7 linked regions of the Mus musculus genome follow. The protein of the gene in region 1 purifies or fractionates together with the protein of each later gene. This does not show direct contact. Links are inferred from orthologs where the notes say so. Each region holds a gene or a part of one and is shown in the gene's direction. Other genes may lie near its edges.

Region 1 (3,500 bases):
GCCGTTTTTGTGGTCTCTCTGCCCCCTTTAGGCTCTTCATCTTTGAGTTCAACGAAAAATAATTGTTTAAAGTATTGCATATGTATAGGTAGAGAAGTGATTGGTCAAAAACTACTCCAGGCAAATCTTTTCATGTTTAGAATTTATCTGTGAGACAATAGAGTACAAATATCTAAATTTAAGTTTTATTAAACTTGAGATTAGTTATGTCTTAATGTTGAAATACAGTCTTTAGGTTAATTGAATCGCAGTGTAACTGTTACTGGTGTAAACTGAATCCATCATAGTAGGAATTTTACCTGTCCTAAACATGTTCTGGTCCTTTCCCTGTGTAAGGATTTTCTAAACAGTATAATGTAATGACTTTTTTTTTTTTTTTTTTTTAAGATTTATTTTATTAATATATGTAAGTACACTGTAGCTGTCTTCAGACACTCCAGAAGAGGGAGTCAGATCTTGTTGCGGATGGTCGTGAGCCACCATGTGGTTGCTGGGATTTGAACTTTAGACCTTCGGAAGAGCAGTCGGGTGCTCTTACCCACTGAGCCATCTCACCAGCCCCCGTAATGACTTTTTCTAGTATTTGTAATTATAAGAAACCTAGAAAAGATCTCAAGTATGAAAGAATGCACACAAATTATTTACAGATATTATTTTTGTATAAGAGATTTGAACACCTGTGGATTTGTGCATCCATAGGGTTGGGGCTAATCCTGCTCAGAACCAGTTCCTTGAGGAGGCTTGACTATGTTTGTAGTTAGCCTTTTCCAAAACAGGCTCTTCCTCTGTTTACCCTGCTGTATTATGTCAGTAAGCATGGTTTCTAGCCTTATGGTAGTTGCACTGTAGCATGAATGCATAGTTTTCACTTAAACTGTAATTTAATTAATGTCTGTAAGTTAGTAAGACATTTTTATTGGTTCTTTAAAACTTGAAAAACTGACCCTTAAAATTTCCTTCCTTTCTATCTCAGTGTTTTCCATTGTATTTGAGGTCCCAAGGTACACTATGGATCTGTATTCTTATTTGCTGATTCTCTACCTTCCCTTCTGTTGAGTGTGCAGAATGTGAGGGCAAAATGTATTATATCTGTTGGTTTTAGTGTATCCTCAAGAGTCCACAGTGTATCCATCCTCAGCGCCCACAGTGTATCCATCCTCAGTGTACACAGTGTATCCATCCTTAGCGTACACAGTGTATCCATCCTCAGCGCCCACAGTGTATCCATCCTCAGTGTACACAGTGTATCCATCCTCAGCGCCCACAGTGTATCCATCCTCAGCGCCCACAGTGTATCCATCCTCAGCGCCCACAGTGTATCCATCCTCAGTGCCCACAGTGTATCCATCCTCAGTGCCCACAGTGTATCCATCCTCAGTGTACACAGTGTATCCATCCTCAGCGCCCACAGTGTATCCATCCTCAGCGCCCACAGTGTATCCATCCTCAGTGCCCACAGTGTATCCATCCTCAGTGCCCACAGTGTATCCATCCTCAGTGTACACAGTGTATCCATCCTCAGCACCCACAGTGTATCCATCCTTAGCGTATACAGTGTATCCATCCTCAGCGCCCACAGTGTATCCATCCACAGTGTCCACAGTGTATCCATCCTCAGTGTACACAGTGTATCCATCCTCAGCGCCCACAGTGTATCCATCCACAGTGTCCACAGTGTATTCATCCTCAGCGCCCACAGTGTATCCATCCTCAGTGTACACAGTGTATCCATCCACAGTGTCCACAGTGTATCCATCCTCAGCGCCCACAGTGTATCCATCCTCAGTGTACACAGTGTATCCATCCTCAGCGCCCACAGTGTATCCATCCTCAGTGTACACAGTGTATCCATCCTCAGCGCCCACAGTGTATCCATCCTCAGCGCCCACAGTGTATCCATCCTTAGCGTACACAGTGTATCCATCCTCAGCGCCCACAATGTATCCATCCACAGTGTCCACAGTGTATCCATCCTCAGTGTACACAGTGTATCCATCCTCAGCGTCCACAGTGTATCCATCCTCAGTGTACACAGTGTATCCATCCTCAGCGCCCACAGTGTATCCATCCTCAGCGCCCACAGTGTATCCATCCTCAGCGCCCACAGTGTATCCATCCTCAGCGCCCACAGTGTATCCATCCTTAGCGTACACAGTGTATCCATCCTCAGCGCCCACAATGTATCCATCCACAGTGTCCACAGTGTATCCATCCTCAGTGTACACAGTGTATCCATCCTCAGCGTCCACAGTGTATCCATCCTCAGTGTACACAGTGTATCCATCCTCAGCGCCCACAGTGTATCCATCCTCAGTGTACACAGTGTATCCATCCTCAGCGCCCACAGTGTATCCATCCTCAGTGTACACAGTGTATCCATCCTCAGCGCCCACAGTGTATCCATCCTCAGCGCCCACAGTGTATCCATCCACAGTGTCCACAGTGTATCCATCCTCAGTGTACACAGTGTATCCATCCTCAGCGTCCACAGTGTATCCATCCTCAGTGTACACAGTGTATCCATCCTCAGCACCCACAGTGTATCCATCCTCAGTGCCCACAGTGTATCCATCTTCAGCAAACACAGTGTATCCATCCAGTTTCCACAGTGTGTCCATCCTCAGTGTACACACACAGCCTTACACAGATATGTGCACTCTATCTAGGAGAGAGTTGACAAGCAGAAGTGGATGAGTTTACAGTTGAAATTACAGGTTTTTTTTTTGTTTGTTTGTTTTTAATACAGGTCGATCAGATGAATAAAATAGTGGAAGTCTTGGGCATCCCACCTGCTCATATTCTTGACCAAGCACCGAAAGCAAGAAAGTTCTTTGAGAAGTTGCCCGATGGCACTTGGAGCTTAAAGAAGACCAAAGATGGAAAACGGGTAAAATGGGGGTGCACTTATTCTTGGTGGAGACTTCCCTTCCCCTTTTCTCCCTCTCCCATCACCCTTTTTTCTCTTTTATTGTTTCCTCATCAGAGCTGTTTGTTCATAGTTCCTTTGAATTTTCTTGCCAACTGTATTATAGTTATCAATTTTAAGAAAGTATTTTGTTCAAAAGTTGATTGTAGTTGAGCTGACTGTGCACTGGGCCAGTGTTTGCTTAATGGTCAGAGTTGTTTGGGTTTCAGTAAAAGCAAATGGACTACTACCTGCCTGTGTTTGGAGATAGCTGATAAAGCCTGTATACTTCAATACCGAATCAGTCAGTCTCAAAGCTTGTACATAGGAGTGAAGCCATAGCTGTAGACAGAAGTTATAATTGTAGTCAGTTACTAAATTTTTTAAGTAGGAAGATGATTTTTAAATTTCAGCAGTTCATGATACTTTTTTTTAGGATACCAGTCAATGCTGGAGTCTTCTGACAGGTTTCCGATTCCTTGCTCAGTGACCAAGTTAACAGGGGGCTTTCATCTTCTAATGCAATTGTATTAATTTATTAGAGTAAACAATACAAAATTTGCGTCTTGATTTTATGTCTCTGCAATTTGCCAAA
Region 2 (2,968 bases), on another chromosome or scaffold:
GGGTTCAGACTTTGACAGCTGAGCCTTATCTATGACATGGAGGACATGGGGAGCGCTGCGTCATTTGGCTACAGCGTAAACTGACAATAGATGGCTTTTGAGTTCAATTCCTGACCCTTACCACTACTAGCTGTGCAAGCTCACCTTAACCTGCCTGCGTCTTGGCTTCTGCATCCCCATCGGCCAAGTGAGGTTAACACTGGTACTGTTAGAGGCTACTGCGCTGGTGTTTGCAAAGCCCTTAGCTAATGCCCAGCCCTTGCTTGGCACTCAGGGACGGGGACTGTACTGACAGAAGGACCTCAGCAAGCCAAGCCTCAAGACTGCTCCTGAAGACCCCGGTTCAGCCTGGTGAGTTTGTGTGGATGTGGGAACAAAGGAAGGGTGAGTGCCTGCACCAGGAAGGCAAGGGTCAGCAGGCCTCAGGGAGTGGGGTGAAGTAAGGGAGAGGTTGGAGGGAGGTCTGGCTCAGTGGTGGCGTGCTCCTCCAGCATTCACATCCCAAAAACACACACACACACACACACACACACACACACACACACACAGCAGACAAGACCTCCCGGGAAGGTCAGAGGTCAGCCTAGTTGTGCGTGTATCTCTGTTTCTGCCCTCTCCCTGCCACTTCCTGCAAGACAATGTCTACTGTGTTCTCTGTCCCAGTCCCTTGTGAGCCATGGCCACCAGCCCACCCAGGGCATTGGGATTGATAAGTGTTTGCCAAGGTATTATTGTGCTCTCGGGGGATGCTGAACGGGTAGACTTTGGTGTTGTAGATACTACAGGAAATGAATGTCCTGTCTCCTCCCAGCTTCCTTACCCCTCCGAGGCGAGCAGGAGGCTGTCCCTCACTCCGACGACGGAGGGGGAAGACATCATCTGGGTCTGGCTCAACGGATACCATTAAAAGAAAGTCTGACAAACACCAGGGTGAGCCGAGACCCTCCCAGGATGGGGAAGGGGTGTTCAGGAGGCACACTGAGGGTTGTGGGTAGAATTGGCAGACCCGGGACTCAGGGTATTTGGTCTTTTGCTGGAGTTGGGACCAAGCCCTCTTCAGGGTAGATCTGACTTCCTTTGTTGGGTATCTGGGACCCAGGGTGAGAGATGACAGACTGTTATGTGTGTCACTATCAAATCAGTACAGTGGCTTAAACATGGCCAACACTTACCAACCAAGCATTAATTCCTTCATTCCACTGGCATTTGCTAACTGGCTTTTGGATTCAGCCATGGTTCTAGTTCCAGAAAAAATATATGTGTGTGTGTGTGTGTGTGTGTGTGTGTGTGTGTGTGTGTGTATGTGTATGTATGTGTGTGTGTGTATATATATATATGTGTGTATGTGTGTGTGTGTGTGTATATATATACATATGTGTGTGTGTGTGTGTGTGTGTGTGTGTATATTCTAGAAAGGGGGGCAAAATAATAAAAGACAAAATAAACCCCACCCCACAAATGTAAAATGAAATATATAGGATGTCACATGGTGACATGTTCTTTCTAAAACTAAATGTATAAGGTACTGAAAGGACGTGGGAGAAGGATTGGTGTCATAAATTGGTAGTTTAGAGCCACGCTTGGTGGAACATGACTGTAACCCAGAGGAGGCAGGAGAATTGCCTGGGGCTGAGCCATCGTGAATTCCAGGACAGCCTCGGCTATGTAGCAAAACCCTGTGTTTAAAAATAGAAGGTGTGTGTGTGTGTGTGTGTGTGTGTGTGTGTGTGTGTGTGTGTGTGTGTGTGTGTAGGGGAATGGATGAGTAGGGCTGGCAACTTAACTCCCATTGGTCAACTTATAACTGCCTGCCAGAACTTATAACTGCCTGCCAGCCAGGCATGGTGGCGCACACCTTTAATCCCAGCACTTGAGAGGCAGAGGCAGGCAAATTTCTGAGTTCAAGGCCAGCCTGGTCTACAGAGTGAGTTCCAGGACAGTCAAGGCTATACAAAGAAACCCTGTCTTGGGAGAAAAAAAAAAACCTGCCTGCCTGTAATTCCCTCTCAAGACATCTGATGCCCTCTTCTGGCTCACATGGGCATCCAACACATACATAAATTCGGGAAAAAAATTGTTTAATGTTTACAAAGGGCATGCTAAGCAGTCTTTTTACAAAATGTAGTATGGCTAAGGCACTGTCATTGGGAAGATAAGGATTGCCTATGAGACCAGAGTTGAGGCTGTGACTCAGACAAGATGGGGAGGGCTGCAGATGCAGAAGCCCCGAGGAGAGGAGACATCTAGTCTTTGTGAGTTGGCAAAACAGACCAGAGAGGTTGAAGCCTAGACGAGAAGAGGGTCTGAGATGAGTTTGCAGTGACGACAGGTGAGAGATGAGGTAAGGACAGACAAACCAGTGTAAGTTCTTGGTAAGGACAGACGAACAGAGCACTTGTAAGTCCTTGGTGAGGACAGATGGACAAAGCACTATAAGTCCTTGGTAAAGAGCTACAAACAAGTTTAAGTTCTCTGCTCTTTCTTGGGCTGAACAAGAGTCAGGGGGAGATGCATGAATAGGGAGAGAGAGTTGGTTTCTCACTTGAATAAACCACTCAAGCGCCGCACATCGTGGCAGTGTGCCTGTACTCCTAGCCTCTTCCCTACGTGAGCCCCCAAAGAGTAGCTGCTGCAGTGGGGAGAACAGGAAGGTAGCTTTGGGGGCCTCCACTGGACGGTGATGGCTCCCATCTGCTGCCCTCCCTCCCCCATTCCTGCAGCCCAGTTGTATAGTACCACCTTCCATCACCGAACAGTCAGCTGTTTATAGACAGTCTCAGGGTGTTCGCTCCCCAGGCCTCTCAGCTGTGATTTCTATCAACAACCCTTGGGCTGGGCAGGATGAGAAGAGTTTGGCTGGAAGCCCTGCTCAGCCAACCACCTCTCTCCTCAGAGCACATATTCATCCATGAAACGCTTTGCCATTCGACGGAAAGCCCAATTCACACCCCTCCGATCGCTACCTAAA
Region 3 (3,500 bases), on another chromosome or scaffold:
TTCATACCTGGGTAATTTCCACTTGGTATGCCTCTAGTGACTGCTTTAATTTCCCTAATATGGTAGATGTGTAAAACATGAATGGGAAGACTTACCAAGTATGGCTGATGTGGGGACTCAGGAAAACCATGCATAGGATCATAGTAAAATTTCAAGAATTAAGTTGCTCTTCCTAGTGTTGTTGTTATATGTCAAATTGAAAGGAATTAGCCATTAAAAGCTTACAGTTAAGAAAGGTCAAAGAGATAGGACTGAAATACGTGATGCAATCATTTCTATCAAGTTAATCATTAAGAAATACAGGAAGGTGGAGAGAATGTATGGATTGACCAGGGTGTGGTTTTTTCGTTTTTGCTGTGACAGTTCCGTCTTCCCAGTGTGCTTTAGCTAGTGCACTTGCTGTGTCTCACAATGCTGTCCGGCTGCTCTGGAGTATATGTGCTTCACCATGCTAGCAGCTCTTCTTCACTTTGTGCTAGTCTTATTTGGAAAACCCACAAAAAAGATAAGCATATGTTTAAATGATGTGTAATGGTTCTCAAAGATAAAGTAAGACCTTAAAGCACTCAGAGATGTTCTCTTTCAAAACTGTGCTGGTGTGTGCAAACTATAGAAACAAGTGTTTGCTTAATTAGTTTGATCTGCAAGTGTATCAATTTTGTAACTTTTTAATTTGTAGGCTTGAGTTTGAAGAAATTGAAGAACCCGAATTTATTGCATTATGTCAAAAGTTAAAGGTACCCGATCATGTCAGAGAAAGAGCTTGGCTAACTTGGGAGAAAGTTTCATCCGTGGATGGAATCCTGGTAAGAATGCTTTTAAAGTTAATTTTTTAAAAAGAAAATCTATAAAGTAAAATATATAAAGTTAGTGATAATTTCACTATCCAAGAGTACCCTCTGATAGCACTAGAATGCTTTTCATTTCAATGGTTTCTTAGGTTTTTAATTTTTATTTTACATGAAAAAAATTCTGATGGTGATGGTGATGATGGCAGTGGCTGTGGTGATGATTCTGACGATGATAATGATGATGGTGGTGGTGGTGTGGGAGCTGTGTTCCTTCTGCTTTTAGTGAAGGCCTAGGGATTGAACTCAAGTTGCCAGGCCTGCTGGGCACCAAGTACCCACAACCATTGAACTGGCTTCATTTTAAACTGATATACAAAGTAACGAGTTTCACTGTGACAGTTTTTGTACAGATACACCATTGTTGTTTTCTCTATTCATCTCCTCCCCCACTCTTCTTTCCCATCCATTATCTTCCATTTGCTAGTCCCCTGCCACCTCTAGACGGCTTCTCCTGCATTTGTATCACACCTGTGCCACACACATTTGTGTCACACACTCTTTTCCCCTATGCCTTAAAACTCTCTTCCTCTCATCTCCCTTTCCAACTTTCGTGACCACACACACACACACACACTCACTTAAGTTTTAGAATCTTCATAGGAGAGAACATACTTGTCTTTTTTTAGTCTGACTTATTTTGACCTCCAGTTGCATTCATTTTTGTAAGGATAATGTGATTTCATTTTTATTTGTGGTTGAATAAATTCTATTTTATATATATTGACTGGCTTTCTTCATCTGTGCATGGGTGGATGAACATCTCCACTTGCTCTATCTCTTAGCTATTCTTAGTAGTATGGCAGGAAACATGGATCTCTCTGCTGTCTTGACGTCGAGTCTTTTGGACATACATAAGATAGTGGAATGGCAGTTTTATGTAACCTCACACTGACTTGCATGGTGTTTGCCCTACTCTACCTTACTACCAACAGTATATAAGGCTCTCTTTTCCCACATTTTTGCCAGCTAACATTTGTTGTTTTGATGTTAGCCATGCTGACTTGGGCAGAATGGAATCTCAAAGCAGTTTTAAGTTGCATTTCCCCATTTCAAATTTTTAGTGCTCCTATGTATATCTTTTTCTGAGAACTGTGTTTAGTTGGTTCATTAACCTGTATTTTGAGTGAATGATTTGCTTTAATAATATTTAAAATTTGAGGTTCTTTATCAGTTTCAATACATGCTGGTATTGAAGGTGTGCCCCACCACACTCAGCCCTGTGTTATGTTTAATCACAATCTGTCTCTCTGTCTGACTGTCTGTCTGTTTAATGTGTGTGCATACATGCTCTCATGCACTGCATGTGTCGTGGTCAGAGGGCATCTTTCAGGAGTCAGTTTTTCTGCCGTATGGGTTCTAGAATTGAATACAGGTTATCAGGCTTAACAATTGCCTTTACCCATTAAAGTATCTCACTGGCCTGATATTGGGCAAAAGATATTGATTGAGTTAAACATCTACAGCAGGTAGATGCCCAATTACCTCAGCATTATTTGAAGAGGATTTTTTCCCCCAGTGTCAACAACTAGGTGGCTATAAATGTATAGGTTTAATTCTGAATTCTCTTTGTTGGTCCATGTATTTTTATGCCAATATCATACAGTTTTGTTACTATGGTTTTACAGTATACTTTGAAATCAACTATTCTGACACTTGCTTAGTATTGCTTTTGTTACTCAGAATGTTTTGTCACCTCATATTAGTTTCATTTCTATTGTGATAAAATATCCTGACAAAAAACAACTTACAAGAGAAAGGTTTATTTTAAATCACAATTCCAGGTTATAGTCTATCATAATAGGGAAGTCAAAGAGGCAAGAACTTAAAACAACTAGTCACATCACACCTACAATAAAGAGCAGGCAGGGATAAGTGCATGCATGCCCAGTACTCATAGAATTTTCTCTATGAAAATTTATATAGTTCAGAGGCAAAAACCCTAGAATGGTGTTGCCTACTCTCAGGCTAGGTCTTCCCATTTCAATGAAAAGATTGGGTGGGGTCTTTCCCCAGCAATTAAGGCAGTCAAGGCAGCTTGCCATAGCTGTGTCCAAAGAATTCCTGAAGACTCCCTTCCTAGTAATGTTACACTGTGTCAGGTTGGCTATTCAAACTAACATTGCTAAGGGGCATCATCCTAGTTCTGTAAAGAATGTCACTAGAAATAGGCCTCGCATTGTATTGCTTATAGGTATTTTTGGTAATGTAACTATTTTCACAGTATTAATTCTGCTAACCCAAGAGCATAAGACTTTTTTGTTTGTTTGTTTTTTAATTTTCTAGTATCTTCATCTTCTTAAGGGTTCTTAAATTTTCACTGTAGAGGTCTTTTACTACTTTGGTTATGTTGATTCTTAGGCATTTTCTTTTTTGAAGCTAATATTTTTTGTCTTGTTTGTTTGTTGTTACAAGGTCTTGCTTTGTAATTCTAAATGATCTAGAACTTATTATGTAGACCAAGCAGCCTTGAAGCACAGAGATCCTGCCCTGCTGTAAGTGCTGGGATTAATGGTGTGTAACACCATGCTCTTGAAGCTGTTAGGAATGGGATCTTTTCTTTTCTTGGCAAGTTAGTTATTGGTATGTAGAAAGGTACTTATTTTTGCTTGTTGACTTTATATTCTGCAGTGTTGAAAGTATCTAACACAT
Region 4 (3,500 bases), about 62 Mb from region 1:
CCAGGTGTGTTGGCACACAAATTTAATCCAGTACTCAGGGGCAGCAGCACATGGATCTTTGTGAGTTCTGGCTCATCTTTGTCTACATTATGAGTTCCAGGACATCCAAGGTGAGATAGTGAACCCTATCTCAAAACAGCACAAAATTTAAAGAGTAGCTAGCACCAGTGCTGTCCATTGGCAGAGAAAGAACACTGCCAAACTTACCCGGGGAAGTCAGGATTTCACTACTGCCAAAGCCAGATAAGGATGATGTTTGTGTGAGGACCGACCTGCATTTGCATGTGTGTGAAAGCTAGCATCATTGTGTGTGAAAGAGGATCATGAGAGTGGAGGAAGAGATCTTAAGGAAATGGAAAGAGAGGGCAGTGGAAGACCTGTGCTGAAAAGCAGAAAGGGAGAAAGAAAACAGCTAGAAGGGAGGGAGGGAGGGAGATGAACCCATGGCGACAAAGTGTGCTGGCACCAAGTATGAGAGGCTGTTAGGAGAAATCCACTGCTTGGTAAGATGGCATTAAAACTGAGTGCAGTGAAAACAAAGTTGAGCAGTGGTACTTTTCAAACTGGATACTGAGTTTGGGGCCTCGTACTATTCTGTTTACTTTGTTCCTATTTGGGATTTTCTTCTTTAAAAGTTCAGAGAATGCTCACTTAGCTCAAATATTTATGTGGCCAAGTGTCATGAGCGTGTTGGTTAATAAAATTATAACTGGTTAATTTCAAATGCTACTTTGAAAAATATAAAACCTCATAGTAACATGTAACACTTATTTTGGACAGCCATGAAGAACTGTACTCAGGCCGTCCTTACGGAGCCCTGGATTCAGGCTTCAATAGTGTGGATAGTGGTGATAAGAGATGGTCAGGGAATGAGGTAAGTGTTCTGTTCATGTGTTAAAAATCCTGATTTTGAAAAATAAATTAAATTAAGGGGAATATCTAAATTGGAATTCAATTTATTAGGTAAAATAGAGAAATGTCAAAGAGCAAAAACCCTACATAGTCCTACCACCTGGGAATTCTACACTGTTTCTTTTAAAAGCACCTTTTGCCATGTATCCTCTTTCAGATTTGTTACCCAGTCTTATGCACAGATATTCTGGAAAGCTGAGTAGGAAGTGAGGTGGTTAAAGCTGAAGCCTAGTGGCTGTGGTAACACATTTCTATAACCCTAGCTAGCTCTCAGGAGGCTGAGGCAGGAGGACCATGGTTTGAAGATAGCCTGGCCTATGCAGTAAGTTCCAGAACAGCTTGCACTGCATAGCAACTGTCTCAACCCCATGAGAAGCCCTGACATCCATGTGAGGGCCAGGGTGGTCTGCGGCGGAGATGGTGATAGAATGGGTGTGCTGGAGGCTGGGAAAGTGCGCAGGACTGGACACTGATGGGTGAGGAAGGGGAACCTGAGCTTTAAGTGACAGCTCAAAAGTGGAGTCCTCTCCAGCAGGCACTGGCTGGAGCCCCACAGAAGGTGGCACAGCTCAGTGAGTTCATTCACATGCCACAAATTGCATGGGTTCTTGTTTTGATTAATTAATTCTATTAGAGTTTCCAATGAAATCCATTGCTTTGTAAAATTACTAGGATATATTTTAACTACCAATTAAAGGACTACACGTTTGCTAGAGGTGCTGATAACAGCCATTTTATAACACTGTGTCATTGAGATTCCAGACAGAAGCCTGGTGAGTAGCACAGTGCCTTGAATGCCTTCAATCTCAGTGTCAGGAGGCAGTGGCAGGTGGATCTCTGTGAGTTCAAGGCTAACCAGGACTATATAAGTCCAGGCCAACCAGAGCTACATAGTGAGACCCTGTCAAACCTAAATAAGTAAATAAATTAAATAAATAGTAAGTCAAAACAAAATTAGATCAAAACTTGAAATTTGTAGTTAGCTATATATGTATGTATGCATGTATGTATGTATGTGTCTTAGTCAGAGTTTCTATGCCTGCACAAACATCATGACCAAGAAGCAAGTTGGGGAGGAAAGGGTTTATTCAGCTTCCACTTCCACATTGCTGTTGATCACCAAGGAAGTCAGGACTGGAACTCAAGCAGGTCAGGAAGCAGGAGCTGATGCAGAGGCCATGGAGGGATGTTCTTTACTGGCTTGCCTCCCCTGGCTTGCTCAGCCTGCTCTCTTATGGAACCCAAGACTGCCAGCCCAGAGATGGTCCCACCCACAAGGGGCCTTTCCTCCTTGATCACTAACTGAGAAAATGCCTTACAGTTGGATCTCATGGAGGCATTTCTTCAACTGAAGCTCCTTTCTCTATGATAACTCCAGCTGTGAAAAGTTGACATAAAACTAGCCAGTATAGTATGTATTGGTGACTATCTTTTTGAATATTGCAATGTGTGTATATATACATAGATATTTTAAACCTATGTATATATTTGCTTACAGTTCTGAATATCCTTCTATTTTTGTTAATTGTGGTAAGGTTTGCCTATTTAAAGTACATATTTCAGTTGCATTAATTGTGTTCATAGAATTATACAATATTCTCTATTAATTTCTAAAACTTTTGCTTTTTCTTCTCCTATGTAGATTACAGTTTATATTCCTGTACTGTATGTTATCTAAAATTGGAAATGATGGTTTTTAATGTTTCTGCTTTTTAAGCCTACAGATGAATTTTCGGATCTGCCTCTTCGAGTGGCAGAGATTACCAAAGAGCAAAGACTGCGGAGAGAAAGCCAGTACCAGGAGAATCGCAGCAGTGTGGCGGTCACAAATGGTGGAGGTACACACGATTCTGATGACATTTAAAGCCTTCATGTGTGCCTTGTTATATAACAGGCTCTCCCTATAACCCTGGCTGCCCTCAAACCCCTTATGTAGCCAAGGATGGCCAGTCTTCTCCCAGCCCTGGGGGTACAGTTGTATCCCACCACACCTGGTTTTGTGGTGCTGAGAATTGAACCCAGGGCCGTGTGGGCCAGAGACAAGGACTTTACAACACAGCCCAGCTCCCACCTGAACTTTTTTGTTTTGATTTAAGGGAGTTTATTGTGGCTTAGGGTTCTAGAGGGATCCTGTCCCTCCTGATGAGGAGAGCTCGGCAGTAGACCACCATCAGTAGACTGGCAGTAGACTGGAAAGGCATGGCGACAGAAGTAGGAAGTTGCTGGTCTCCTTACCGTTTTTGAAGTGGTCTTTGTCACACCCACTCTTTAGTTTGCTTCTCTGTAGATCCTTCACCCTTCTGAAGACTTCTGTTTATATATGACCAAAAAAAAGTTTACCATTCAGATAAAATTCACTTTCTCTGTATTTTCAATTTATAATTTCTCTTTCATGTTTATTTGAGGGGAAACTTTAGGAAGAATAGATCTTTGTTCATCTTGATCTTACTACAGTCTTCTGAAGTAACATTGTCTCTTTTTAAGATTTTCCATTTTAAAGAGATTTCTTGAGCTCTTTTAGCAATCAATTGTGTTTGCTTGTATTTATTTTTAGCTTTTTGAAATAGTTATCTATTTATTATCAAGGG
Region 5 (3,500 bases), on another chromosome or scaffold:
CCTTAGCAACATTAGAAGTTAGTTAATTAACCCTGGGAAGGTAGCTATTATATTATCCCAATTTATAGATGATGAAAATGGAGATATAGCTGGCTTAAGGAATGTGCCAGAGGTTTTATGGAAATAAGTTGGAATTGTACCTTCAGATACTTTTAGAACAAAGAATATAGATTGACAGACAATTTGGTGTTCCTCAGGCGTGAGAAAACTAAGAAAAAGTGTGGTTTAAGACTGGGGATGTGATCAGGAGACAGGGGAAGTAACTGGTCAATTGGGAGGTGAAGTCAGTAGTCTGAAGTCTTGATAAGCCTCTCAAGTGGACTAAGAAACTCAGGAGCAGAAGGAGGAGGCCAAGGACTGATTGGTTGCCTAGGGTAGGGTTGAAAGTTAGGGCTGTTGAAACTTGGCAGGTGAGGAAGATTTTAGTGGTTTCTTTACACCGTGGTGATGTGTCAGGTACCTGGAGAGATGAACTAGTTATTTTGTGAACAAGGGAGAAAGGCATGGTAGCATGCAGTGATGTCAAAGCTGAGTATGAGGTTTCAAGGAGAGCTTTGGAGTGACTGTAGCTAGTAAGGATGAAGGAGAATGTAACAGTGACTTGGTCTTTGTTAAAAAGCCACAAGACAGATGCAGGCAGTCTTGCTAGTTAAGGACAAGATTATAGAAGAAAAATGGGAGAATTTAAAAATGGGAAACTTTAAAAATGTTTGTGAATAATTCATTGAAAATGGAGAGCAAAATGAAGATGTTTGTGAGAAGTTAGCCAAATCACCTTTCCTGACTAATGCTGGAGGAAATGTAATTCGGAAATCAGGAGCATCCAGGTATCCTGACTGTCCAGTGCAATTTGTACAAGGCTCATTTTTTAATTGTATTTATTTATACATATTGTTATAACAGGTAGGAGCTTATGGGTCAGCTGCACAGGCCAGCATGTTATATATATAAAGGTTATATAAGGCATAACAATATTACCTTCAGAAAAAGTCTGAGGTATAGGAACGCCATTTACCCTAATTCTTTTGTAGAAATTGGGGAAGGTCATGGGTGTTCCCTGTGTTCCTTCTCAAATTTGTTGGCATTCCACATTTCCTTCTTGAGAAATAGCAACATCGGTTATTCCCATGGCCGTGTCACAGATCCATTATATACTCACATAACCTGAAGTCAAACTCCAACATGTGTTCAAGGATACCATGTGCTTTAGACAATTCAAACCAATAGAGGGACACTTGACAATGTTTAATTTGTTTTGCTGTTGTAACTGGTTCTTGATCTCTACAGTAGAGTGGGTGATTGTTGGAACATACTGATATTGAAGACAAAATGGATTTGAGTTTTTTGTTTTTTTGTTTTTGTTTATTTGGTTTTTTTGGTCTTGGAACTGCTTTGGCTCATGTCCTGTCACCTTCTTACATATTTGTTGTGGTGCTGGGATTGATCCATTCATTCTCCTTTTTTTTTTTTTTTTTTTTTTAAGTTCTTGCAAGTTGATGGCCTTTGGACAAATGTTCTAGCTTTAAAATAAATAGTAGCCCAAGTAGTCCAATAATATCTGTCTCCTGACAGAGTGGCCAAGGATCTAGTAGTTGTTTTGAGACTAGATGTTTCAGCAGTCCCAATCTAGTGCTGGAGTCTCTGGGAGGTGTAGAGAGCTGCCAGTTTTCAGTCCACATTGGAACATCAGAGCATACGTTCTAACACCAGGAAGAAATGGTTCAGGATAGATGAAGTTGCCAGTGAGAGTGGGGGCAGAGAAAGCGACATCCTTCTTCATTCTTGTCTTAAATGAGCTGCCGCCAGAAGGGGTAGCCCAGGTTTAGGTGAATCTCTTAACTCCACACGATTTGGGATGGGTTTCCCACCTTAAGTTGGCTGCTTGGGATTTAGTTATTCCAAGTATAGTCAAGCAGACAACCAAGAGTAGCCATCACAGTTGGTACCTTACAATGGGAATTAATTCATGTAAGTGCTTGGTTAGTCTTTAGGTGAACTGTGGGGGGTTGTGTATGCTTTAAAGAAGAGGCTTTCTATACTCTTACCAGTTTTCTATCAACTTTTAAGGACTAGGTCTAAGGATTTGGAGACATACATGCTTTAAGACTTGGTTCTTCAGATATTATATTTAGAATATAATAAAGACTTTTGAATTGCCAAAGTTAATTGGATGTTTTCCCTCCCTAGGTTGAAACTGAGCTCAAGTTAATCTGTTGTGACATTCTGGATGTACTGGACAAACACCTCATTCCAGCAGCTAACACTGGCGAGTCCAAGGTTTTCTATTATAAAATGTAGGTTCTATACTAGAAGGGAAAATGTAAGATTTAAAGTTGGCTTTAGAACCATAACTTTTTAAATGTAGATTTTCAACTTTTATTTAAAAATAGCTGAGAATTTGGAGGGTTAGTTATCAGAACTTACAGTTTTAATTAGTTGAAAAAACAATACTAATGAAGAATTAATTGTATTTGAGATTGTCTGACTGTTGTGCAAAGTACCTGTACAAAATACACAGCTTTTCATTGTTGAGCTGACCCTCCTTTCCCCCACCCATTGTCCTGGAACTCACTAATGGCAGACCATGCTAGCCTAGAATTTAGAGATCTGCCAGCTTCCTGAGTGAGATTAAGGTTGTCAGGTTTATTTGAGAAGAGGTCTTTATATTTCTGATTGGCCTGGAACTCTGTAGATTGGGATCGTCTCAGATTTGGGGTGATCTTGTCAACTTCCAAAGTGCTAGGATTATATGTTACCACACCCTGCCTGGGTTTTTGATTTTGTGGCTTCCTTCTTAGCTAAAGTTTCCCATTTTACAGTATAATCTTAACTTTCTGTAGAGAAATAAGGTTGAGAGTAACTCAGGAATAGCAGGGCTCAGCTTGCTCAGGGCTCCTGGGTTCTGGGCACTGAAGTGATGGCAGAAAATGTGTTTTGTGACGAGTGTGTGCTCTTCTTCGGAGACATTTGTGTACCAGTCAGGTGATTTTCAATTTTTTTTCCCCAGTTATTTTCTGAGGTAGTTGGCCAATAATTTAAAACAGGAAGTCCGCCCGGGCAGTGGTGGTGCATGCCTTTATTCCCAGCGCTTGGGAGGCAGAGGCAGGTGGATTTCTGAGTTCGAGGCCAGCCTGCTCTACAGAGTGAGTTCCAGGACAGCCCGGGCTACACAGAGAAACACTGTCTTGAAAAAAACCAAAAAAAAAAAAATAATAAAAATAAAAATAAAAAAAAAGCAAAGACAACAACAGCAAAAAGCCAGGAAGTCCTTAAGAAAGAAGGATTTCCAACCTGATGGATACTGAATTTTGTAAAAAAATCTATATCTTAAGTGTTAACTGTATTTTGTTATGTACTGCATGGTAGAGAAAATTTCCATGCTGTAAGGACTATTTTCTAACTGTGTTTTTTGTCTACTATTGTATTGTAGGAAAGGGGACTACCACAGGTATCTGGCTGAGTTTGCCACAGGAAATGACAGGAAGGAGGCAGCAGAGAAC
Region 6 (4,026 bases), on another chromosome or scaffold:
TAGACCAGGCTGGCCTCGAACTCAGAAATCCGCCTGCCTCTGCCTCCCAAGTGCTGGAATTAAAGGCGTGCGCCACCACGCCCGGCTTCCACCTCAACTTTGTAATACATTTTTTAATTCTTCTTTTTCAGTTTGCATACTTGAAGCTTCCTGCTTCCTCCCCGGCCCAGCTCAAAGATGAAGTTCTCTATCACTAAGTCTACCTGTTTCCCTATCCCAGATGAGGGGGCTTCAAAACACTTAGAGTAAACCCTTGACTTTTAGGGATTTGCTGCTACAACTGTAATAATGAAATGACTGGAATTACCACTTTCTATCCGACTAAAGAAAGGAATCTGAAACTCTGCCCTACAGTGATCTGAGCATGAGAGCATTTATTGAAAAAAATTTTTCCCATCTGAGACCTCCAATTTACAGAAGAGCCAGAAGCCTCTATGGGCTTTCTTCCCTACTGACATCAACACCCAGCCTATTGAAAAAAAACTTAAAACTTTGGTTGAGGTGGGAGGTGGTGATAATGGTACAGACTTAATAAAAATGTGGTTTCCAGTTCCTGAAGAGGAAATACAGTACTGTTGAAATCGGTTCCTCATATGTCAGCTTCCTCCCTCCTTCTGTCTTAAGTGGTCCAGCCAGAACCATCCTGCTCCACCACCACCCCCCCATACACCCCGCAACTGAGCCACCTATGATGTCATAATCACAATCCCATTACCTCATCCTGCTGGGGGGGGGGCGGTAAGGAGGAAAGGGAAGGGAGGGAGTGAACAGCCTCGGGTCCGCCTCAGCTTTACAAAGTGTTTTGGGTGAGAACAAATTACAGAGCAAGGGGACACAGCTCCGCAACCGTTATAAATCTCAGGTTTATAAAAGCTCTAGCAGATCTGGCAGCTAGAAGAGGGGCTCCGGCTACTCAGAGCAGGCCTTGACCGGCGCTTGGACTACATTTCCCAGCAGCCTTCACGCCGAGGATCAGTCCTTGCCGGGGGAAGGTGGGGGGATGCTTGCAGAAAGGTGGCTGTGTCGGAAGGGAAAGGAGGCCAGGTGAGAAGACTGTGGCTAATATTGTTTCGTGGCCTGAGCTGAGTCAGATAGTTCAGTTGGGAGGATGGTTTAGTGGAAGGAGTGGACAATGGCTTTGTTTACCTTTATCCGACATGGCTTCCCCTACGGGCTTCGTGATATGCTTCCAACTGGGCCTGTCCACTTTCCACGTTATTTTGGAGGGGGTGATTAGTTAGTGAGGAGACACTCCGGTCCCCAAACCACAGCTCTAGGCTCCTTTCCGACGGCGCTATTCTGAAAAAGATTAAGGGAGACACCACGTAGGGCTTGGGCCTCTTCGGCAGGTTCCGGGGGATTCTGTGAATAGACGCGATCCCCCATACTCTCCTCAAAGACCGGTTGGTTCTTGCCAGCGCCTTTTAAGGGCACCGTGGGGCGAACGGAGCGCTCAGAGCTGCTCCGGCCGCGGCCCATGGAGCTGTAGGAGCCGCGGTAGGTAGCGGAGGGCAGGTGGTGCTGGGGCCTCGGGGCGGGCACCGCGACCGTCCCTCCCTCTCTCCCATCCCCCAGTCCAGCCGCTGGTGCGGCGGAGCCTCCTAGGCCGTCTCGGCGGGAGAACCCGGGACCCGGTGGGGGAGGGGGTGGCGGAGTGCATGTCCCAGACCCTCCCCATCCCCTGCGTCCTGAGTTCGCTTCCCGCGGTCAGATGGGGAACCAGAATGGAAAGAAGAGAGCGACAGTCTCTCTGAGCAAACCCTGGAGTGCCCCCCCGGGGGCCAGTAGATGCCTCATGCCCCACCCCGCGGGGACAGGCAGGGCAACAGAGGGAGAGGTTGAGGATTAGAGGGAGCCTAGTCGTTTGCTTTTTCGTCGCGGTGGGGGATGGGTGCACCCCACTTGTCACCCCTGTCTTCACGAGAGCCATATGGAAGAAGAGCATTCTAATATCCATTTACCTTTTTCTTGCATCTCCCTGCCTCGCTTATGTTTTCCTTCAGTTTCTCCCAGAGGTGTGGGACCGGGAGACCTGGGGGGAATGTCCCCAGGGGATTTGCGACTTTCTTTTCCCTTGGCCTGACTGGATCTTAGGTCGTCCAGGTTTCAACACAACCTAAGTATCCCAGAAACGCAAGTGTCAGGAGTTGCTTCCATCCAATAGGAGTGGGGGGGTCTAGTCGTCATCTTGGGGGGTTGTGGTGGAGGGAGATTCTGGGCAGAGAGTTAGGCCTGGTGGGGTTACTGGGAGGGCCGAGCGGCCTTCTTGCTCAGTGAAGGGCTGAGCCTTGTGCCAGTAACGTTCAGCTGAGAAGTTTTAACTTGTTTAGTGAAATGTTGAGAGCTGTCTACCCCTCAGATACACAAAATGGAAGGGAAGGAAGGCTGCCAGAGAGAGCTTCTCACACTTTGTAAATGTCTGCTTGAGAACGAGGAGGCCCCTTGCAGAGCTGGTTTACCTTCTTTTGTGTCCTGGTTTGATTCCTTATGGCTTCCGTTCTGTTGCCCCTCTCAGCCTGGCCTGTTTTAGGAAACTCAGGCTGAGAGTATCAGTTGCGTGGTGGTAGTTGCATTGTTCCAATTACCGCTGTGTGTGGCCACATCCCGACAATTAAAATGCAGAAAAAGAGAAATCACCCTCTTCAGCTGCTGCTAGAGAGGGCTGGGAGTTTGCTGTTTGCCTCACTGAAAAGCTTGCAAGTGTTTTTCACTCCCTGCTCCTCATGGCTGGTCAGCCTGGAGCCTGGGGTCTCTCTAGGGTAAGATTCTCCACTTAGGTTCCCTTCTTGTTCATCATTTTTGAGGACAGAGTTAGAATGGGAGCAGAAGTGATTCAAGCTTTAGCTTCTCCCACCAGAACCCAGGGGAAGCAGCTGAAGGGAGTTGGTTCTCAGGAAGCTGGAACTTTGTTCGGAACGGTAGGGATAATTACGCATGGAAACCATAGTTAGCTAGAGTGATGATTGACGGCTGCGCCGTCCTTCCAAAGAACTCCATCCACATCCACAGGACCTTTGCTCTTTGTCATGTGCCTCTGAAGTGACACCCTCGTTTTTGCAGTGGGTGGGCTTCTCCAAAACATCACAGGAGGAAGACCCCTTAGGCTTCAACTTAGTGAGCAAGTGACGGAGGTTGGCCTCCAGCCAGAGAAAGATGCATAGCTTTCTTCATCCTAATGATACCACCTCTTTAGGCACACCAAGGCTTGGAAGAACAGCAAAGGGAGAGAGAAGAAACAACAGTCTGTGTGAACTATTTTATATAGGCCAGTTGGTAAGCTATTTTGATATTTCATGTGGCCTCATTCCTGTGATAGAGTAAGATCGTTATACCCATTTTACATATGGGTAAGCAGGAATGTTATATGGCTAGCCAAACTTGCCTGAGTAAATTGGATTAAGGATTAGGTGATAGTGGCAGCTTTTTTTCCTCCCGGGCTGGCCTTCACGAACTGTTGAGCTTCTGTTTGCTTTCATCTCCCGAGGGCTGGGATTACAGGTGTCTGCCCAAGAGTTAGCTTTCTTGGCTGACTGTTCTCTGTGCCAGTTTAATGCTCCACATACTCTGGCCTTGCCTGTTGGTCACTGATGGGAAGAGGTAGAACAAAGGCATCACTAACCTCCCTTCCTTCTTCCTCAGAGCAAGGCCAAGGCCCCGTAGGTAGGCAGTTGTGTGGGGTTTAGAAGCTGCTCTCAGATAAAAGTCAGTTGGCTTCAGTCTTAAGGAAGAATCCATGGTCTTCAAGTGGGATCATGAAAATCAACACAACTTTGTTGGATGAAGTCATGAGTTGTTTTTAATATCCGTAGAGTTGAAATGTGATTGGAACTGACCATTCTTTCTCATTGGATAAGAGAATAACCAGCAGCATCTACTAGGAAAGAGTGATGTATCAGCTGTTCATTTAAAATCCTCTTTAATCTGACCTGAAACTGAAAGCCCAGCCCTTGCTCCTCTCTCTGTACTAAACCCCTGTGGTTTAGAAGGGTTTTTCTGTTTGTTTGTTTTTTGTTTTTGTTTTTGTTT
Region 7 (3,500 bases), on another chromosome or scaffold:
ATTGGTGGGGTGCCAGGGATGGAAGCCCACGGTGGCTACACCTTCTGTGGCTTGGCTGCGCTGGTTATCCTCAAGAAGGAACGTTCTTTGAACCTGAAGAGCTTGCTAGTGAGTAGCTGTTGCACCACCCTCTCCCCGAGCCTAGGACTGGTGATGTGACTCGATCTCTGGGACCATGGGGAAGTCTGGTGATGGGAAAGGAGGGCTGAGCTCAGGCACTGAGCGCAGATGGAGCCTCAGGTGTGGTTGCTGGTGTCTGCCCAGCCCTGAGTCAGCAGAAGGAGCAAACAGCTGCCCTCGGTCTCAACTCCCTTCTCCTACCTCTCCTCCTGCCTGTTTTGAAGTTTCTGAACAGACCCAGAGTGGACTTGAGTCCTCCACCCACCACCTGGAATGAGCCATTGTACCTTTGCCCCAAGAATAGCAATGGTCCCACAGGATTCACTATTACCATGTGTCTTAGAATCACCTAAGAGAAGAGGCTCTCAGAAGAGCTTTGAAGCATTTAAGAGCCAAGGATTTATTACCTGTGAAAATTCCATATCTGCATTCCAGCAAGTTCCCCAGGCAGAGCTGGGAAAATGCTATTGGGAGGTCTGGACATCTCTTCTAGACCCCCCAAGCTCTTGGCCAGTGCTCAAAAAGCGGTCATGTTAAGGGAAACCTAGGACATACAGAGAGAATATGGTCCCTTTGTCTTTTGGGAGGTATCGCTCCCCTGGCTATCATGAAAGCAAACCAGCTACACTAGACCTTCAGCTCTCTCTGAGAGCGGATGCCAAGCCCTCATTGTTGAGCCGTCCTGAGCCCTCTAGAGTGTTGCTTTTATATTTTGTGGTAGTGTAACAAGCAGCACTGTGCCCTCATTGTGAGAGAAAGCCTCTCACACAGCATGCGCTGTGGAGGTTCTGGAAAACTGATACTGAATGACCAACTTTGAGGGTACATTTTACAATATGATCATCCTTAGGAGATGAAATGTAAAGTCCCGTGTTGTCTCAGCCAGGGTTTCTATTGTTGCAGTGAAAACACCACAGCCAAGAAGCAAGTTAGGGAGGAAATAGTTGATTCAGTTTCCACTTCCACACTGCTGTTCATCACCAAAGGAAGTCAGGACAGGAACTCACACAGGGCAGGAACCTGGAGGCAGGAGCTGATGCAGAGGCCATGGAGGGGAGCTGCTTATTGGCTTGCTTCCCTTGACTTGCTCAGCCTGCCTTCTTATAGAACCCAGTACTACCATCCCAGGGATGGCATTATTCACAACGGGCTGGGCCCTCCTGCCTTGATCACTAATTGAGAAAATGCTTTACAGCTGGATCTCTTGGAGGCATTTCCTCAACTGAGGCTCCTTCCTCTGTGATGACTCCAGCTTGTGTCAAGTTGACACACAAAACCAGCCAGTACACATGCTGTAGGCAAAAAGGAGGAATATACTAGTGCATGCCTAAGTTTAAAATGTCAGTGCTGTAGGCTTGCGCTGCATCTACCTCTTAGCCAAAAATCCCTGACTATTTTCTGATCTGCTTTAGCTGCGCTGTCTCTTTCCCTCCGGAAAGTGGGAATAATAATCCCTATTCCTTAGGGTTAAAGAAGACGACCCATAAAGAGCTTGGTAGACAGAGGGTGCTCCATAAATGCTAGCCCTCCTTCTCCCTGTGACCCCCTTCCCTCTCTTTGCTAGAAACAACCAGTATCTGAGCCGGGCAGTGGTGGTGCACGCCTTTACTCCCAGCACAGACAGGAGGCAGAGGCAGGCAGATCTCTGGGTGGAAGGCCAGCCTGGTCTACAGAGCAAGTTCCAGGACAGCCAGGGCTACACAGAGAAACCCTGTCTCAGAAAAACAAGAGAGAGAGGGGGAGGGAGGAGGTGGCTTTGATTTCCTATATCCAAGGGAAGTGGAACCAACCCCTGGCTTTAGGCACTGGAACAAAAGCATGACTTGAATCTACTCACATTTTGGGGTGAGTCAAAGGTAGAGTTGTTGCCCGTCCCCACCCCCTTTGAGTGTTTAGCTGACTGTCATTAAATAGCAGTTCCTGAAGGTTCATTTAAGACCAGCTTTGGGGGGGAGGGTGTTACTACCTAAACACACAGGTTTCTGTCCGTCTAGGCATCCGAGGCTGACTTGTATTGCCATGACCAGGGGCATACTCTAACTCTATTATATTTGAAGAAGTCCAGGCTTTCCTCTAAAGAGTCCCCTGCATCTGCATTCAGGAACTCAGTCTAGGAGGGCTTCGGGTTCTGGGCATAGGCCCCTTGTTCCTTTTCAGTCCAGTGGTGCAGCTCTGTGGCCTCAGGCTGAGCAGGAAGAGAGAGAGCATTGTATCTGCTCAGCTAGTTGCCCTGCTCATCCCTCCAAGGCTATCTTGTTGGAGTGTGTTTAGAGAATGTGGAGATAAGCCAGGAGCGGTGGTATCAGGTGTGGCCACCGGGTGACAAGTGCCAGTTTATAGCTTCAGCCCAAGATTTCCCTTGTATCACCCCAGGAGAACTGGAGGCTAGACCAGGAAGTAATCATTCGGTAGCAAGGCTCAGTGGCTCTCAGTCCTAGTAGGGACTTGAGTGCACGTCCTCAGGTACCAGGTAAAGGCAGGGCTAGCCTGATGTCATCGGATGAGATCAGCCCAACACTTCCCTCCTCTGCTTTGAACAAACTCCCGTGAGAAGTGATGAAAAGAGACAAGTGCTCCTGCCTGAGTTTTCTGTCCCAAGCTGTGTTTTTAGAGACCTTTGCGGGCCTCTGCACTCAGCACCTGCTTCGATTTGGACCTAGTGGGAACAAGAGAGGGTAATGGGCTATATGTAACAGGGTGCTGGGTGACTATTTGGGGAGGAGAAAAGAACAAACCTGGGGAGGGGGTGACAGGAAATAGCAATGAAGGAGACAAAGAAGATATATCTGTGTGTGTGTGTGTGTGTGTGTGTGTGTGTGTGTGTATATATATATATATATATATATATGTATATAATCTATCACATGTACACACACACACACAGTGTAACAAAGAAGAAACCTTTCACTTTTTATGCTAAGTGAAAAATGGTGGTTGTCTTTTCAGCCCTGAGCAGTGATCACTGCCCGTTGTTTCAAAATGGCCAGGTTTAAATGACAGTTGCCACTGGGGAAGGGGAGGAGAGGAAGGGAAGCCAGAACCCCAGACATTTTCCCACGGAGCGAGTGGCCCTTGTAGCTGTATGTCTTTGGCTCATACCCACCTCTACCGTGTCTTTTCTCAGCAATGGGTGACAAGCCGGCAGATGCGGTTTGAAGGAGGCTTTCAGGGCCGCTGCAACAAGCTGGTGGACGGCTGCTACTCCTTCTGGCAGGCAGGGCTCCTGCCCCTGCTGCACCGAGCCCTCCACGCTCAAGGTGAGTCCACACTGCTACTGGTCTGTCGCTAACCCAGCACTGTTGAAAGGAAACTCTGACTGCCTGGGGTTTTGAGGGCTGGTATGGAGCCTCCCACCCTTGGGGCTCTCGGAGCAGAATACC

What was found.
Region 2: the proteins of Dyrk1a (region 1) and Troap purify together in Homo sapiens (affinity purification with mass spectrometry; 6 studies listed by BioGRID and IntAct, with this or other methods). This does not show direct contact. The link is inferred for Mus musculus from reciprocal best matches to the Homo sapiens genes DYRK1A and TROAP.
Region 3: the proteins of Dyrk1a (region 1) and Rb1 purify together in Homo sapiens (affinity purification with mass spectrometry; 4 studies listed by BioGRID and IntAct, with this or other methods). This does not show direct contact. The link is inferred for Mus musculus from reciprocal best matches to the Homo sapiens genes DYRK1A and RB1.
Region 4: the proteins of Dyrk1a (region 1) and Lrch3 purify together in Homo sapiens (affinity purification with mass spectrometry; 3 studies listed by BioGRID and IntAct, counting the BioPlex papers as one, with this or other methods). This does not show direct contact. The link is inferred for Mus musculus from reciprocal best matches to the Homo sapiens genes DYRK1A and LRCH3.
Region 5: the proteins of Dyrk1a (region 1) and Ywhae purify together in Homo sapiens (affinity purification with mass spectrometry; 4 studies listed by BioGRID and IntAct, with this or other methods). This does not show direct contact. The link is inferred for Mus musculus from reciprocal best matches to the Homo sapiens genes DYRK1A and YWHAE.
Region 6: the proteins of Dyrk1a (region 1) and Fam53c purify together in Homo sapiens (affinity purification with mass spectrometry; 8 studies listed by BioGRID and IntAct, counting the BioPlex papers as one, with this or other methods). This does not show direct contact. The link is inferred for Mus musculus from reciprocal best matches to the Homo sapiens genes DYRK1A and FAM53C.
Region 7: the proteins of Dyrk1a (region 1) and Fntb purify together in Homo sapiens (affinity purification with mass spectrometry; 3 studies listed by BioGRID, counting the BioPlex papers as one). This does not show direct contact. The link is inferred for Mus musculus from reciprocal best matches to the Homo sapiens genes DYRK1A and FNTB.

The regions. Positions count from the first base shown.
Region 1 is NC_000082.6:94,674,706-94,678,205, forward strand, and holds part of Dyrk1a (dual specificity tyrosine-phosphorylation-regulated kinase 1A), read left to right. Parts: intron 1-2,746; coding exon 2,747-2,887; intron 2,888-3,500. UniProt on the Homo sapiens protein: Dual-specificity kinase which possesses both serine/threonine and tyrosine kinase activities. Exhibits a substrate preference for proline at position P+1 and arginine at position P-3.
Region 2 is NC_000081.6:99,077,973-99,080,940, forward strand, and holds part of Troap (tastin), read left to right. Parts: intron 1-274; coding exon 275-351; intron 352-663; exon of another isoform or gene 664-676; coding exon of another isoform or gene 677-725; intron 726-811; coding exon 812-930; intron 931-2,832; exon of another isoform or gene 2,833-2,893; coding exon 2,894-2,968. UniProt on the Homo sapiens protein: Could be involved with bystin and trophinin in a cell adhesion molecule complex that mediates an initial attachment of the blastocyst to uterine epithelial cells at the time of the embryo implantation.
Region 3 is NC_000080.6:73,319,323-73,322,822, reverse strand, and holds part of Rb1 (retinoblastoma-associated protein), read left to right. Parts: intron 1-679; coding exon 680-806; intron 807-3,500. UniProt on the Homo sapiens protein: Tumor suppressor that is a key regulator of the G1/S transition of the cell cycle. The hypophosphorylated form binds transcription regulators of the E2F family, preventing transcription of E2F-responsive genes.
Region 4 is NC_000082.6:32,973,100-32,976,599, forward strand, and holds part of Lrch3 (DISP complex protein LRCH3), read left to right. Parts: intron 1-780; coding exon 781-874; intron 875-2,629; coding exon 2,630-2,750; intron 2,751-3,500. UniProt on the Homo sapiens protein: As part of the DISP complex, may regulate the association of septins with actin and thereby regulate the actin cytoskeleton.
Region 5 is NC_000077.6:75,753,387-75,756,886, forward strand, and holds part of Ywhae (14-3-3 protein epsilon), read left to right. Parts: intron 1-2,187; coding exon 2,188-2,294; intron 2,295-3,430; coding exon 3,431-3,500. UniProt on the Homo sapiens protein: Adapter protein implicated in the regulation of a large spectrum of both general and specialized signaling pathways. Binds to a large number of partners, usually by recognition of a phosphoserine or phosphothreonine motif.
Region 6 is NC_000084.6:34,758,101-34,762,126, forward strand, and holds the start of Fam53c (protein FAM53C), read left to right. Parts: upstream 1-1,226; 5' UTR 1,227-1,497; exon of another isoform or gene 1,498-2,877; intron 2,878-4,026.
Region 7 is NC_000078.6:76,906,967-76,910,466, forward strand, and holds part of Fntb (protein farnesyltransferase subunit beta), read left to right. Parts: coding exon 1-108; intron 109-3,223; exon of another isoform or gene 3,224-3,244; coding exon 3,245-3,377; intron 3,378-3,500. UniProt on the Homo sapiens protein: Essential subunit of the farnesyltransferase complex. Catalyzes the transfer of a farnesyl moiety from farnesyl diphosphate to a cysteine at the fourth position from the C-terminus of several proteins having the C-terminal sequence Cys-aliphatic-aliphatic-X.